4 linked regions of the Arabidopsis thaliana genome follow. The protein of the gene in region 1 interacts with the protein of each later gene in a pairwise test. Each region holds a gene or a part of one and is shown on either strand. Other genes may lie near its edges. The genes, in order: NAP1;3, AT4G31985, AT3G02190 and IBH1.

What was found.
Region 2: the proteins of NAP1;3 (region 1) and AT4G31985 interact in a two-hybrid assay, tested with the Arabidopsis thaliana proteins (one large-scale study listed by BioGRID).
Region 3: the proteins of NAP1;3 (region 1) and AT3G02190 interact in a two-hybrid assay, tested with the Arabidopsis thaliana proteins (one large-scale study listed by BioGRID).
Region 4: the proteins of NAP1;3 (region 1) and IBH1 interact in a two-hybrid assay, tested with the Arabidopsis thaliana proteins (one large-scale study listed by BioGRID).

The regions. Positions count from the first base shown.
Region 1 is NC_003076.8:23,030,657-23,036,206, forward strand, and holds NAP1;3 (nucleosome assembly protein 1;3), read left to right. Parts: upstream 1-1,792; 5' UTR 1,793-1,961; coding exon 1,962-2,007; intron 2,008-2,089; coding exon 2,090-2,133; intron 2,134-2,261; coding exon 2,262-2,357; intron 2,358-2,566; coding exon 2,567-2,659; intron 2,660-2,791; coding exon 2,792-2,879; intron 2,880-2,967; coding exon 2,968-3,029; intron 3,030-3,117; coding exon 3,118-3,302; intron 3,303-3,434; coding exon 3,435-3,612; intron 3,613-3,699; coding exon 3,700-3,743; intron 3,744-3,889; coding exon 3,890-4,091; intron 4,092-4,187; coding exon 4,188-4,205; intron 4,206-4,574; coding exon 4,575-4,643; 3' UTR 4,644-5,037; downstream 5,038-5,550. Other genes in the region: AT5G56940 (Ribosomal protein S16 family protein), read left to right, coding at 223-355, 443-488, 1,316-1,544. UniProt on the Arabidopsis thaliana protein: May modulate chromatin structure by regulation of nucleosome assembly/disassembly. May function in nucleotide excision repair (NER). Involved in somatic homologous recombination. Could be involved in response to abscisic acid (ABA) and to salt stress.
Region 2 is NC_003075.7:15,468,006-15,471,270, forward strand, and holds AT4G31985 (Ribosomal protein L39 family protein), read left to right. Parts: upstream 1-1,835; 5' UTR 1,836-1,925; coding exon 1,926-1,928; intron 1,929-2,082; coding exon 2,083-2,186; intron 2,187-2,312; coding exon 2,313-2,361; 3' UTR 2,362-2,728; downstream 2,729-3,265. Other genes in the region: AT4G31980 (PPPDE thiol peptidase family protein), read left to right, coding at 1-1,199; ASP5 (aspartate aminotransferase 5), read right to left, coding at 2,871-2,906, 3,078-3,200.
Region 3 is NC_003074.8:405,238-408,142, reverse strand, and holds AT3G02190 (Ribosomal protein L39 family protein), read left to right. Parts: upstream 1-1,655; 5' UTR 1,656-1,800; coding exon 1,801-1,803; intron 1,804-1,893; coding exon 1,894-1,997; intron 1,998-2,089; coding exon 2,090-2,138; 3' UTR 2,139-2,387; downstream 2,388-2,905. Other genes in the region: AT3G02200 (Proteasome component (PCI) domain protein), read right to left, coding at 1-74, 170-308, 428-640, 724-862, 953-1,082, 1,359-1,451; SP1L3 (SPIRAL1-like3), read right to left, coding at 2,686-2,784, 2,885-2,905.
Region 4 is NC_003071.7:17,907,003-17,910,753, reverse strand, and holds IBH1 (ILI1 binding bHLH 1), read right to left. Parts: upstream 1,748-3,751; 5' UTR 1,508-1,747; coding exon 1,037-1,507; 3' UTR 544-1,036; downstream 1-543.

The sequences.
Region 1 (5,550 bases):
GATTTAAAAATCTTTATTGGGCTTGTATCATCTTTGATGTTAATGGGCTTCCTGATTTTGTAGGCCCAATGAATCCTTCAACAAACGGCGTCGTAATAAGGATCCAAACCCTAAAAGATTTATGGATTCAGAGTTTTCGAAATTGGAATTTCTCACTCTCTCTATCTCTCTTAGCCAGCTCTGATCATTTCGATTTTTTTCCGGTGAAAAGGGAGGAGAAACATGGTTGTACGTATCAGACTGTCGAGATTTGGATGCAAAAATCGGCCATTTTTTAGGGTTATGGCTGCTGATAGCAGATCTCCAAGAGACGGGAAGCATCTTGAGGTCTTAGGTTACTTCAATCCTTTGCCAGGTGATTGACAAAACAAAATGTATTCCAATTGGTGTTGTTCGTAGAGTTTTCGATTAAAATACACGATCTCTTGGTCTATGTGTTCAGGCCAGGACGGTGGTAAGAGGATGGGTCTCAAGTTCGATCGAATTAAGTATGTTTCTTCTCATCTAATTCTCTAGTTTCTTATGTTTTTTTCGGTAAAATCAGGTAGGTTTTGGGTTGAATTTACTCAGAAAGAGGTCTCTGAATGCTTCACTAGATGATTAAGGCTTTTCTGCATTTGAAGTGTTTTGGTTAATTGCTAAAGTTAGCTTCTAGCCGCCTCTAGATATCTTAATGCATTGTTGTATAGTCAACATTGTGTTATAGTTAACTATCTTTCGATCTGATACAAAGGAGCTGAGTTCAGTCTTTGAATGGTTTTTGTTATCGAAAGGCGAATGAATCTACATGTTTCCCATGGTTGGTTTTGATCACTTTCTTTCTCTTCATGGTATTGAACCATTAGTTGAAGCAATTTTCTACCTCATTTAATCACTAACTTATGAAAGGAAAAACTGAAATATTTGTGGAAATTCATCAACAAGTTTTGTTATATAACAAATGAAACTTCTCCGCCAGTCTTGAGTCTTTCTATGGAACTTCTGCTCTGAGTTCTGGAATTGTTTCTTATTAGTGTAAGATGAAGAACCTGTTGATTATCTATTCGTATACACACTTACTTACATTCTTAATTGTTCACCATATACAACCTCTTTTGCATAATTGTATGGTCATGTAGCTTTAGAATCTTGTCATGCTCTTTATCATCATCTAAAATTAAGATTATAATGTCCGGATATTAGAAGAACACATGTCAAGACTACTTAAAAGTTAGATCCTGGTCTGTCTTTCTTTTGTTCTGAATGACTAGTTTCAACAGAGGATGCATATAGTTTGATTAATGGACATTTTGTTTGATTCTCTTGTTCTGTACAGGTACTGGTTATCTGTTGGTGCTCAGCCATCAGACCCGGTTCAACGTCTCCTATTCAGATCCGGTTTACTTCCTCCTCCTCCAATGGTGGCTATGGGACGTAAAGGTGGAGCACGAGACACACGCCCAGTTGATCCGATGACTGGTCGCTATGTGGATGCAGAGAATAAAACAGTTAATGCCAATGATAACCAGCCTAAGGAAGAGGATACAGAAGCCAAGAGTGCATGATTCATTAGCCTTCTGTCATCGTAGCTTTTCAAGTTCACTTTGTTGTCGATTATATTGTGTAATGCAGCATTAGACAACTGACTTGTTTCCTTTGTTTGGCGATAAACGGCAAGGTGTTTGGCACTTTTTGCAGAAACGGCACATATTTTGCATTGGGATATTTTAGATTTTAAAAAATGAAAAAGTAAATAAAAATGCCAGCGAGGGAATTAAAAAAAAAAGAATGGCAGTTGTTAGGTTTAAATTTTATAAAGGAGGAAGCCACGTTTTGCGTTTAGTCGCCACCCAGAAAAAACCCTCAAGTCTTCTTCTTCTTCCTCAATCTCTCCACCTCTTTTCAAACCTTCTTCACACTCTCTCTCAATCAATCCTTTTTCTTCTCAAATCTTTCAGTTTTGATCTCTAAATTTCCAGAAAATGAGCAACGATAAGGACAGTTTCAATGTCAGCGATCTCACTTCTGGTAAATCTATATCTCCGATTTTGTTTCTGCGGCTTTGCTTCTTCTTAGTCAAAGTTTTAGAAGCTTTTTTGTTTGTTTGCAGCTCTTAAAGATGAGGATCGAGCTGGTCTTGTCAACGCTCTTAAGGTGAGTTTCTCTATCTCTTCTTATATCGATTTGCATTATACTTGAAGAGGAACATGTAATTTGGGCGTTTCGTCATTTTATAGTTTCTGTGGAGATTTTTTTGTAACTGTTATGTGTTTGATTCACAGAACAAGCTCCAGAATCTAGCTGGACAACATTCTGATGTGCTCGAGAATCTGACTCCTAAAATTAGAAGGCGTGTTGAGGTTTTGCGGGAGATTCAGGTTTGGGAAAACTTCCATTCACTTTTTATGAGCTCTATGCTTATGTTGTGATTAACGTTTCCTATATAAGCTTTTGTTCAATAGATTGGTGTAGATTGATATGGTATCTTGTGAGTATGATGTTGAAATGTATATTTGTATGCTTTTGATTATATGAGAATGCTGTGCATTCTTTTGATGATTATCTGAGAATCCTTTTCGTTTTTTAGGGCAAACATGATGAAATAGAGACAAAATTCCGCGAGGAGAGAGCTGCTCTTGAAGCCAAGTATCAAAAGTTATATCAGCCTTTGTATAACAAGGTAATTTGGTTGTAGCAAGATTAAACTATTTTGAAAAATTTAGTTATCCTGTATTTTCTTTATTTCCAGCTGTGTTGGCTTTAGTTAGCTTCGAATTTCTCTTGACACTGGCTTGACATTTGGAATGTGCAGCGTTATGAGATTGTGAATGGAGCTACTGAAGTTGAAGGGGCTCCAGAGGATGCTAAGATGGACCAAGGAGACGAGAAAACTGCAGAAGGTACTCTCTCTCTCTCTTTGCCTTTGTAAATTGTAATCATTCTTGCAAGAAAAAAACAATTTGCTTATTTCACCGGGCTGGATTGCAGAGAAAGGAGTCCCTAGTTTCTGGCTGACTGCTCTGAAAAATAATGATGTTATATCTGAAGAGGTTGGTGTTACATCTATGATTGTTCATTTAGAGTTACTTAATCATATCCATGGAAATTGACCAGAGTTTTAATTTCTTTTGATTTCAGATCACAGAGCGTGATGAAGGAGCCCTTATATATCTTAAAGATATCAAGTGGTGCAAGATTGAAGAACCAAAGGGATTCAAACTTGAGTTTTTCTTCGACCAGAATCCTTACTTCAAAAACACCCTATTAACAAAGGCGTATCATATGATTGATGAAGATGAGCCTCTGCTTGAGAAGGCTATTGGGTAATTGTTGATAACTTTTTTGTAATATTTATTCCCTAGCATATTTTGTTCTGAGATTCTTCCAAGGAGCTGCGGAATCTTGTACTGACTTATGCACTAACATGGATTTTGATTCTTTGTTCTTTGTCTCAGGACAGAGATTGATTGGTATCCTGGAAAATGCTTAACTCAGAAGATTCTTAAGAAGAAGCCTAAGAAAGGTGCAAAGAATGCCAAGCCAATTACCAAAACTGAAGATTGTGAAAGCTTCTTCAACTTCTTCAATCCTCCCCAAGTTCCTGATGATGATGAAGACATTGACGAAGAAAGAGTATGATATCATTTGGTTTTAAGACAGGCCCTATTTTGACTATGTTTGATTATACTTTTGTAGTAATGTTTTCTGTTCTTGGTGCAGGCCGAGGAACTTCAGAATCTGATGGAACAAGATTATGACATTGGGTTCGTCTTCTTGAACATAAACTCTGTCAATTTAATATATTCCGTCTAACTTATTACCAACTGTATAAGAGCTCTAGCTAGCATCTTTTATCGGAAAGTTAATACATTATTTAGTATCTGATTCAAGTATTCCTTGCTTCTTGCAGTTCTACAATCCGGGAGAAGATCATACCTCATGCTGTCTCATGGTTTACTGGTGAGGCTATTGAGGGAGAGGAGTTTGAAATAGACAATGACGATGAAGATGATATCGATGAGGATGAAGATGAGGATGAAGAAGATGAAGACGAAGATGAGGAAGAAGACGACGAAGATGAGGAGGAAGAAGTAAGCAAGACCAAAAAGAAGGTATTGGATTCCTCTTGTTTCATTTCTTCTTGTCATGGAATTACCTTTTCTGAGTTAGTTACTAACTTTTTGATATTGTGTTGAATGTTTATGCAGCCATCAGTCTTACACAAGGTACATAGCCATATTCCACCCTTCTTATAGTATTTGTCTGAGTTAATTAGATAATCCGATACCAATGAGTCATACAACGGTCATAAACTATTGACATTTATAGGCTAGACCATGATCTAAAAAGTAGAGAACATGACCCGTGAATTAGGAGATAGCTGAAATTAACTGATTAAGCTCACTATGCACGAATCTGTGAATCATAGAAACTTGAACTCTTATATGACTGAGAATTATAAATGAAACTATGTAGAATCCTTCTCATGCATATTTATAAGCTTAGGCTAAATCTAGTACTTGCAAACCATTGTGCTATGTTTGTGATAATGAGATGGATTCTATAGTCATACTCTTTTTGAAATCATATTGCAGAAAGGAGGGAGACCTCAGGTTACCGATGATCAACAAGGAGAGAGGCCTCCTGAATGCAAACAACAGTAAACAAAATCGAAAAGTCTAAACGAAAACCAGTAAAAGAAAAACAAATGTTTTGGGTTTTGAGTGAAGTTTCATGGCCTAGTTTTTTGCTTCCATGTAAGGCAAAATGTTTTGAAGACTGCTCATAGGAATGTTGCTGTAGGCAAAAGAGTGAGTTTCTCCATGTGGAGATACTTGATAAATTATTTTTGGTGCATTTGTTTTTTTTTTTTTTAATCACTAAGTTGAATTTTGGTGTGTTCGTCAAAATTATATCTTTTTACCACTTGAATTAAGTCTCTTTTGGTTTCTTTAATTTAAAAATAAATAAATCTTATCATTGTTTTTTTTGTGTGGACATAAGTGTATTATTCTTATTGTAAACCAAGAAAAAAGAACAGAAAGAAATTTGTTTTCATGTAGTTTCTTCTTCAATGGGTCGATTAGTATTTCATTATGGTCAAAGTCAAATTAATCACACACCGTGACCATTAGCAATTTAGCATTAGTGAGTGTCGTTATTCGTTAATAAATCAATTAATTGAGTCATTTAAATAGTAAACGTTAAAATCAAAGATGCACACGAAAGGGACTCTTTCTATATACAGAAAAAAATATATGTACTTGTTTTAATAGTTGATTTTGACTCCAAATGGAATTTGCTGATTCTACCAAACAACGGTTTTGGATTAATGCGTATTTGTTTTTGAATATTTTGCTTCACCGTAACAAATCATGTCCTCTCAAGGACTGAAGATTCTTTTATCAGTTAATTACAAATACAATTAGTGCTAATGAATCATTTCACATTACCCTGAGGTTATCAAACTATTGACTTCAAATCTTTGTCGTCCATTGACTTTTTTTTTTTTTACAGCTTTGTCGTCCATTGACTATAAATGTTATATTGGAGTATTGTTTAAGCGTGATT
Region 2 (3,265 bases), on another chromosome or scaffold:
AGTTAGCCTTTTTATCTTCTCTTTCCACCAAATGCTGTATATACAAGGTACCTAATAAGCTCCGCAGACTCAATCCTGATGCATATACGCCTCGGCTTGTGTCTTTTGGCCCGCTTCATCGTGGTAAAGAAGAGCTTCAAGCTATGGAAGATCAGAAATACAGGTATTTGCTGAGTTTTATCCCTAGAACGAACTCTAGTCTAGAGGACCTTGTTAGACTTGCTAGGACTTGGGAACAAAATGCTCGCAGCTGTTATGCAGAAGATGTGAAACTTCATAGCGATGAGTTTGTTGAGATGTTAGTTGTAGATGGTAGCTTCTTGGTTGAACTTCTTTTGAGGTCTCATTATCCTCGACTTAGAGGCGAGAATGATCGCATATTTGGCAATTCAATGATGATCACCGACGTGTGCCGTGACATGATTTTGATAGAAAATCAGTTACCCTTTTTCGTTGTGAAGGAGATATTTCTTCTCTTGTTGAATTACTACCAACAAGGAACACCTTCAATCATACAGCTCGCGCAACGCCACTTCAGTTATTTCTTGAGCCGCATTGATGATGAGAAGTTTATTACAGAGCCAGAACATTTTGTTGATCTTCTGAGGTCTTGTTATCTGCCACAGTTTCCAATTAAATTAGAATACACTACAGTGAAAGTGGACAATGCACCTGAAGCAACAGAGCTTCACACTGCTGGTGTTAGGTTCAAGCCAGCAGAGACCAGTAGTTGTTTACTTGACATTAGTTTTGCTGATGGAGTACTGAAGATTCCAACCATTGTCGTCGATGATCTCACGGAATCCCTCTACAAAAACATCATTGGGTTTGAACAATGTCGTTGCTCAAATAAAAACTTCCTCGACTACATCATGCTGCTCGGTTGCTTCATTAAATCCCCTACAGATGCTGACTTGCTCATCCACAGTGGGATCATCGTAAACTATCTCGGGAACTCAGTAGATGTTTCAAACTTGTTCAATAGCATCAGCAAAGAGGTTATCTATGACAGAAGATTCTACTTTTCGATGCTCTCTGAGAACCTTCAAGCTTACTGCAACACACCATGGAACAGGTGGAAGGCGATTCTGAGACGTGACTACTTCCACAATCCTTGGGCAGTTGCTTCTGTTTTTGCAGCTTTACTTCTTCTCCTTCTCACTTTCATACAGTCCGTATGCTCTATCTTGGCTCTGTAATAAGTCTATTGGTCAATAAAACTAAACATTTGGCTCTGTATCTTAATGTGTCAAAATTATCTTTGGTTTCACAATGATCCATGAGATGGCACTGCTTAAAAGAACCAGTTGGTGTAGAAGTGACACTAACAACAGTTCCAGGCAAGATACGCAAACAAAGAAATTATATAGTAAATAACTAAAGTGACTAAAACTGATGCTTGAAACTAGGATTGGAACCTATTAAGCACACAATGTACAATTGCAAGAAGAAGTAGTGTGTTTTTAGAGCCTACAGATGTCAAAATCAGTGATAGAAAAGAACAGCTATTTGTTTCACAGACATGTGAGACATAAAGCTTGCTCTAGGATCAATCACGTCCTACGAGCAAGTACAAACATTTGTAAATCAATAAGAGTACAAAAGGTTATATCAGAGCTTTCGTAGAACAGCCATTTCCCCCAAAATCTTACAACAGGAAATTTCGTTGTAAGAAATGTTGACTTCTTGAGTGTAGAAGTGTCAAACTTGGGAACGTGACCAATAAAAAATTGACGTTTCGCTACAAGACTAAAAATCATGGGCCTTGGGCCGAAACATGAAACCTAAAAAGACTGTTATCACATAAAAAGCCCAATAAAGAAGACTTTACTAGGGTTTCATCGTTTTAACTTCTTAAAAAGGTTAGTCGCCTCTTCTTCGTATTTTTTGCCTCGCTGAGCAGCTGCGAATCTCACGACTTCAAGATGGTTAGTCTCGCTCTCTCGCAAATTTTTAATCTTTGTTACAATCGTTTGTTAGTTTCGCCTGTTTGGATTGATTAAAGAGTTTGATTTGTTGTTAGTTAGATATCGAAACGAAATTAGTGATTTTGATTTGTGTTGGAAAAATGAAATGTAACAGCCGTCGCACAAGTCGTTTATGATTAAGAAGAAGTTGGGAAAGAAGATGAGACAGAACAGGCCTATTCCTCACTGGATTCGTCTTCGTACCGACAACACCATCAGGTTCGACTATTCTTGTTTTTTTTTGTCTATTGTTTATTCCCTGATCTATCAAATTGAAGATATATTTAGTTGTGTTAGTTGATCGATTTAGTTCTAAAACTGATTTCATTGTGTGGTTAATTTCAGGTACAATGCCAAGCGCAGGCACTGGCGTAGAACCAAGCTCGGATTCTAAGTGATAAGCCTTCTAAAAGAGTCTTCTTTATCTGTTTGGTTTAGCATTTCCTCAAGTCTTCTTTTTGTTTTAAGTTATGACATTTTCATATTTCTGTAAGACTTTTACTCTATTATGATTCATGTTACCAAATTTTCTTCGTATTGGGAGTTGTTTCTTAACATTTGTGTGATTTGACTATTGAAGTATCTCTTGGTTTGCTTCCATGTAGAGTTGTTTCTTAAGAATTTTTTCTCGCAACCTAGAATCTGGATTGGGTTTAAATTTAATCATCTACTTGCGAACTAGAAGCTTTAGAATTTCTTGCTAGTAATTGTACTGGTTTTAATATCTAGTGGTTTTGAATCTTTTGATAATGTGATAGTGAGTCGATGCTTCTTATAGCAGACAATGTGGAATTGCACTGGTATTAAGATAGATCACACTGTACAATCTGATCATTTCTGTTGTAACTCTTCCGGTCAAGTATAGTTGTGAAATTATGTAAAATACAATCGTAACAAGTTCTTCTATAACTCGATGGGAGTCTCCCAATACAACAAGGCCTGTCAAACACGATCAAATCAAAAGTTTCCTTGAAAATTGTCTAGCAATCATAGTGTGATGCTAGCTTATTAATTTAGCCATCTGGTTTCAATCAAAGATCAAGAAGAAGCTAAAAAGGGTATATAAAACTGTTTCTTATTGTCATCTACTGAGATGGAAGCTCAGCTTACGTTATGGTATGAGTCGATGATCGCATCAGCAAGATACTCGCATTTGGCCAGAGATAATCCGGCCAATGATATCCTCCCGTCTTTAGTCATATACACATGCCATTTGTCCGTCATGTTATCGCTCTGCTCGTTACCAAAAGAAAACAGCACAAACTTCAAACCACAAGTCTAAACAAGGCCAAAGGGAA
Region 3 (2,905 bases), on another chromosome or scaffold:
AGAAGTTGGTAAACAGGTGCATATTTAGCATCCTTTTCCAATTGTGCTACGGCTGGCAAGTCCAATAAATCACACTGCAAGATTTAAGATTGCCATCGTTGAAATTCCAATCAAATATAAAAGAGCAGTGTCAGGACAAGAAAGACAAATCCAATTCACATTATGATACCTGGAAAATACTGGAAGCTTTGACAAATTCGATAACTGCACGCACAGCCTCCTCCTTGGCTTCATCCAGGACCTGAGCATCCTCATTGGAGAAAGTTGCTAGGTACTTCGTCAAGAACTTAAGGGATTCATTCACCAAGCTGGAGTATTAATAGAAAAAACCATGAGGCTATTGTTATACCCAAACGGAAACAAAAAAAGAAAGAGACAGAGAATGACTGATGAGCATAGTTATAAAGTATAAATTATGTTTCAATACCTTTTGTTTTCTTTCAGCACATTAGCAATGGCAAGAAAGAGTTCCCTCTGATCTTTAATGTCAATATTCCACTCTTTCAGAAAGTTATCGATCTTCTTAAAAGAAGAAACTATGTACTCAGTAACCTTCCCATCAACAGCTAGTGTAAGAGCTTTCATGTATACTTGAAATCGAGCATACGGGTGGTCAACCAGGTTATAGAGATTGAAGAGGCTACACAAAGATTAAGACAAAAAAAAAATGAGAAGTGTGATAAATGAGCAAAGCATTCAGAAATAAGCAGAAACGATTCATACATCTTCAAACGAAGTGAAGCTTTGTCACTGGGTTGTTGAGCAACCTTGGAAGCTATAGCTTTCACCATTTCAAGGACTTGCTCAGGGCTTTTCGCATTCTTGACAATGCTGCAAATGATGGTGTAGGTACACTCAAGATCTGAATTAAAAAAAGATGCAAATCACTGAGAATTGAATACTCGAAAGACATACAAAATAAACAGGTATAAGTAAGAATAGGAACACAAACCTTTCTCAGATATCTTAGAAGATACCAATTCAGCTGAAGTGACCATTAACGAAGACAATTCAAGCCACTTCTCTGCTACCATTGACTCCTCAGCCTCCCTACAGAGCCTGGTAATTTCTGGCTCTGCTGCCTAAAATTTGAAACGATAACTAGTTAAGTACAGGCAAGCCTTGAAAACTTAAGAAGTCGCTTAATGAAACTAATCTTAGATGGTTGAACTAATCGGATGCATCAGAATCCTCAAAGATTACAAACTATTCTAGTCCAGAAACTATCAACAAACCCTTCCATAACCAATCAGATTCTTCGAACGAAACAACATATACCAGATCAAATTTCCCATCTCACTTAAGATAGACATTCTTAAATTCCCACTATAAATTCACAACCAAGGTGTGGAGGTTACCTCGGGACCAGCATCGGCCCAGGCGAGCTGGGAAGTGAATCGGACAACAGCGAGAAAGGGATTTTCTTCGGAGGTGGGAACAATCGTCGTCATAGCTTAGCTCCGGTTTCGAATCTTCTCGGCTGCGCTGAAGAACAAATGCACCACAATTACAACTTGTTTCAGCAGCCGACCAGCAGAGACAAGAGAGAGAGAAGAAAATGAAACCCTAAATCTCTATATTTTTTTCTTTTCCGGTTAAAGGTAACCGGAACCGAATACGATTCCTAAATTAACGGTTTACCTATCTGACGGCTAATAAATTATGAGAAAACTCCAACGGTCAGGATTGAGCTCTAGTCCACAACCCTTATAAAAATCGATTTCTTCCTCAGTTAACATTTGAGAAGATTAGGGTTTAAACGCTGCCGTGTTCCGCCGGATCGCCACCGTTGAAGTCAAGATGGTACTTTTACTCTCTCCCTCTCTGTATCCTTTGTTCTATCTCTCTTAAATATTTCCTTCGCCTGATCGATTTCATGGTCTCTGATATTAGCCGTCGCACAAGTCGTTCATGATCAAAAAGAAGCTAGGGAAGAAGATGAGACAGAACAGACCGATCCCTAATTGGATCCGTCTCCGTACTGATAACAAAATCAGGTTTATAGATTTTCGTAAACTTTTTTCATTCGATCCGTGAAAAAGTTGCAGACTTTGATACTGAGTTCCATTGTTCCATCACCTTCACACAGGTACAACGCTAAGCGTAGGCACTGGCGCCGTACCAAGCTAGGATTCTAGAGCACTCTCACCGTGACTCAGATTCGTCCGAGTTTCTTAATTGCTTTCTTGTATCGGAATTGTGGTCTTTGACCCCTAAAAGTTTTAGTTTTTTGTTAAGGATTTTGTGGCTTATAGCTATGTTTAAATCTTAGAACTTGAAGAAGAGTGCATGATTATGAATTATAATAGTTGAATCCTTTCTCCTACAATTGGTCGTTGATTTGACTCTGTTTCTTTCTACTCTATGATAAAACGTAAGTATATGGCTGAATTCGAATCATTTCTCCTACGATTGATCAGAGCTTTGAACATGGCTGATTCAACGCAAGATCTTGTGGGCATTGTTTGTTTCATTTGATATAGATCTCTTGGTTGATCAGTACTTAGTTTATTTTCTTGGAACTCTTAAAGAGAACATTGTCTGAAAATTCCTTTTAACAAGACAAAGAAGAGAACAAAAGGCAAACATCACAATTGAATCACACAGGGTTCACTAAGGGATAAAAGCCAACACTTTTGATGATTTACACGAATCTGAATAGTGGGAAAAAAACTACAAGTAACTTCATTTGTTTCCAGATCCAGCAGGACTTGGTCCTCCAAACAGATAATCAAGAGAAGATCCTCCACCAGGAGCTGCATGAACCTTAGTAGATGGCCTGTCCTGTTCTCATCAACAAACATTTTTGGTTTTTATCAGTTTCCAAATCAAAAGTCAATTCTTTGATCTCAAAACTTTGTAAAGACTAAAGATCTCCTGTTACCGTGAGAAAGTTTCCACAGTT
Region 4 (3,751 bases), on another chromosome or scaffold:
GAAATATGTGGAATTGACCAATTTGTCTGTTTACGTACACGTGTATAATAATTGACAAATTAAAGTAGGACACTCGTATGAAATATAAGTATGACCAACTGCATAAATAAGACGTGTAGATAATCCTTCCAACGGAAAATGTGATTATAAAGAAAACAAGTAATCAGAGTCTTGTAATTTTTGTTAATAATGTTGTTGTGAGCGACCATTTGAATTCAATCCGACATAAATCATGAAATGTTAGAGTTATACAAAAAAAAAAATCTCTCTTACCTGAAAAAAGAGTTATACAAAACAAAAAAGGAGTTAAATTATATATATTCTACAAAATTCTTTAACCTATATAATGTCAAGTATTTTTAAGACTTATTCAAGTAACTCCGTGTTAAACAAAAAAAAATCATTTAATTAAATGATTCATAATTCTATAAATATATATTTTTAAAATTATTAGATTTATCATATATTTTCTCAAAAACATAAACAGTCGTATATGTATAGGAGATATATAAATACAGAATGTATATTTTATGATAGTTATAATTCCGCTATAATTTTCTTATAACTAATATGTTATAACTTTATATATATAATCCATCCATAGAAACATCATTGACGAATAACACAATCAAGAGGAACCAAGTAAATTGCATAGCTTAAAAGAAAAGAAGAAAGAAAATTCTCTTAGCATATGATAAGTAATAAATCCCCTTTTATCATATGACAAGGGCAAGTTACCAAGCCCTAATGTTTAAACCGGCCATAGCATATGATAAATAATAAATCCCCTTTTATCAAAATTCAAGAAAAGAAAAAGAAAAAAATCTTTCGTTACTTCGAGACTAATACATATCCACACATTTCATATATGTATCCTATCTTACACGTATGTATATATATAAGAATATATATATATATATATATATATATATACACATATATATTCGTTATGATTACCCCAATCCAATAGACTATGTATGTGTCGTATCTCTATATACATCGATCATTGATGATGATGTTGATGATTAATTGATGATCATTTGGGAGATAAGCCATCAACGAGACACTGCATGACCTTGACCTGCATACTAAGGCACTTGATGTAATGAGCCGTCTCTTCCATCAGCTTTGACGTCTCCATTCCTCCGCCTCCCGGAACAAGATTCCTCAGCCTCTCCGCCGCCTCCTCCACCACCGGAGCTCTCTGGTTACTCCTCCTCCGTTTTGATGATATCTTCCACTTCCTCCTTGAAAATCTTACGATCTTGTTGTCATCTTTGTCTGCTCTACGCAAGAGGGCTCTGCTCCATAGCCGGCTACTCCCTCCGGCTGCTCTGGCCATGGAAACGTACGCAGCCTTCTTGATCTTCCTCACGCGGTAGTTTTTTTGGTCCGGAGTATCAAAAGGGTTTTGTTTTCTGAGATTTGAGAGGGATTGGAGGAAGTGGAAGGCAAAAACGTCCTTTTCAGGGACATCTGTGTTTATGAGTTTGTCTGCAGAGGCCATTGTTTGGGTTTTTTAGAGAAGAGAACTTGAGTTGAGAACCTTTATAAAACTTTTTTTTTTTTGAGAATGACACAATATTAGGGTTAATATAAATGGAAAGGTGGAGAGAGAGAGAGAGATAGAGAGGAATAAATAATGTTTATTTTTCCTTGTACTTAACTTTTCTTTATGTTTTTTTATGTCACAAGACACACAACTATTCAAATTCTCTATAAAGTTTAAATTTAAACTATAGGTTCAACTATTTATAACTCATGTTCTAAAAAAAAAAAGATGTGTTAATAGCTTTGAAATATTGAATTTTGGAGCTTAATTGGTCCGTCAAAGTTACGTTGCGTAAAAATATGAGAATATGAAGTTATAAGTGGCAGTTTTCTTCAATGGTGAACAGCAAATAAATACAGTTCTATGTTTAACTTTGGGGGTTTACTAATATTAGTTCAAATTTTTTGTAGATTCGTCTGTTATGGTTTAGTGGTTTGACATCGATTGCTTACTGGTGGCTACTTAGATGTGTAAATATATCATTATGTGTTAGAATTTTAAAATGAAATGTGAATTGTATAACCCATGTATTTCGGAAAAGTATAATTTACACCTAGTGTTATAAAGTCTTGAATAAATAAATGGGCAATTAGTGGAAAACGATGTTTTGGAGCTTGAAGAAAAAAGTTGATGCCAATAGATTAACAGAACTTGGCTATTTTGGGTATATATATTTGACTATTTTGAAATTTGAAATATTAATGTATACTACACCCAAATACAATATATATAGCATTAATGCTCGTATACATCTTAGCTAAAACAAAATAATAATTCGGATGATGTTTAAGTACTAGACGCAAATTAATCAAGCTCGTTTGGTTCATAGCTTGGTATTAACGGAAAAAAGAGCAATTTAGAGCAGACATCAGATTATGGAATTAGATTCCAACCACACTATTATGTTTATTTGTTTGTTTTTATAAAAGGTTAATTTAGTGACGAATGCGTATGAATTCATTAACGTGAACAGCTAATAGAGACTATTATGATAAAATTAGGTAAGCTATATACATATATGTATGTATTTATGTTAACATTAGTTGACAACTAATGACGATTAAGATGGAATATGATCGATTGTGGAAAACATATAAGCTCATTTTCAAGGCAAAAGAAATAACAAAACCCAAAATATCAATTTAATTGATTCATTACTTGCTCGATATTTACTTCCACAAACAAAATTCAGCCAAAATCCAACTCTCGTGAAACGACTGATTGAGGATGTTTATTCGAAACTGAGTTTGAACTATACGTTAGTTTAGAAAGTAACACCATTGAACCTGAGAATAACTATGATTATTTCGACGATATAAAGTGTTAATAAACTTAATCAATTAGCCACTCGCATCATCAAGATAAAACGTGTTTAAAATTGATCAGATATATAACAAAGTATTCACCATGCAAGAGAGCAACAACAAAATATGAGATTATTCAATTGGCTTGACCAATAGATGACGTTACAATTTATATACACCAAATATTACTAACCAATTTAGAAAAGACAACACATGAAAATATAAAAGAAGAGAAGAGAGACTTGAGGAATACGATAAGTGTTTGGTTAAGGCTATAATTTAGCATTAGTCCCATCTCTTTTGTGTTAATCACTCTCTCCCCTACCGCTTTGCCGCCGGACGTATTTTTCACGCCATTTAATTCTTTTGTATAACATCATCATGATCATATTTATCTTTTTTCAAGATTCAGCTCCAAAATCCCTTAAATCTCACTGTTTTCTCTAAGGTTTCAAATTTCACATCTATCATAAAAATACGTTTAAAGATTAACAATTTCGGGTCAATAACAATTTACAAAATTGTTGATATTAGGAGTGAAACCAAATGAATAAGAAGGTGTTAATCATATAATAAGAACTAAAAAAGAGTTGAAGAAGTGGTAGAGTAGGTCCACTAATGGGCCAACCACCACATGAAGGCACATGGCTATGGCCTTTACCCACCTCCACTTTCCTTTCTCTCTTATCTTTATCTTTAATTTTTTTTTGTTCTAATTATTCAATTAATATTAACTACACCATTCGTTTTCTTTGATTCTCTTCTTAATTTAATAATAAGTCGTTGGGGGCGAATAAACTTTATCATACTAGTTGATTAAAATATCCCAACTAAAAATGTAAAACAAAAACAAAAGAATAAATGCTATTGGTCATTTAGTAATAATGATTTACAA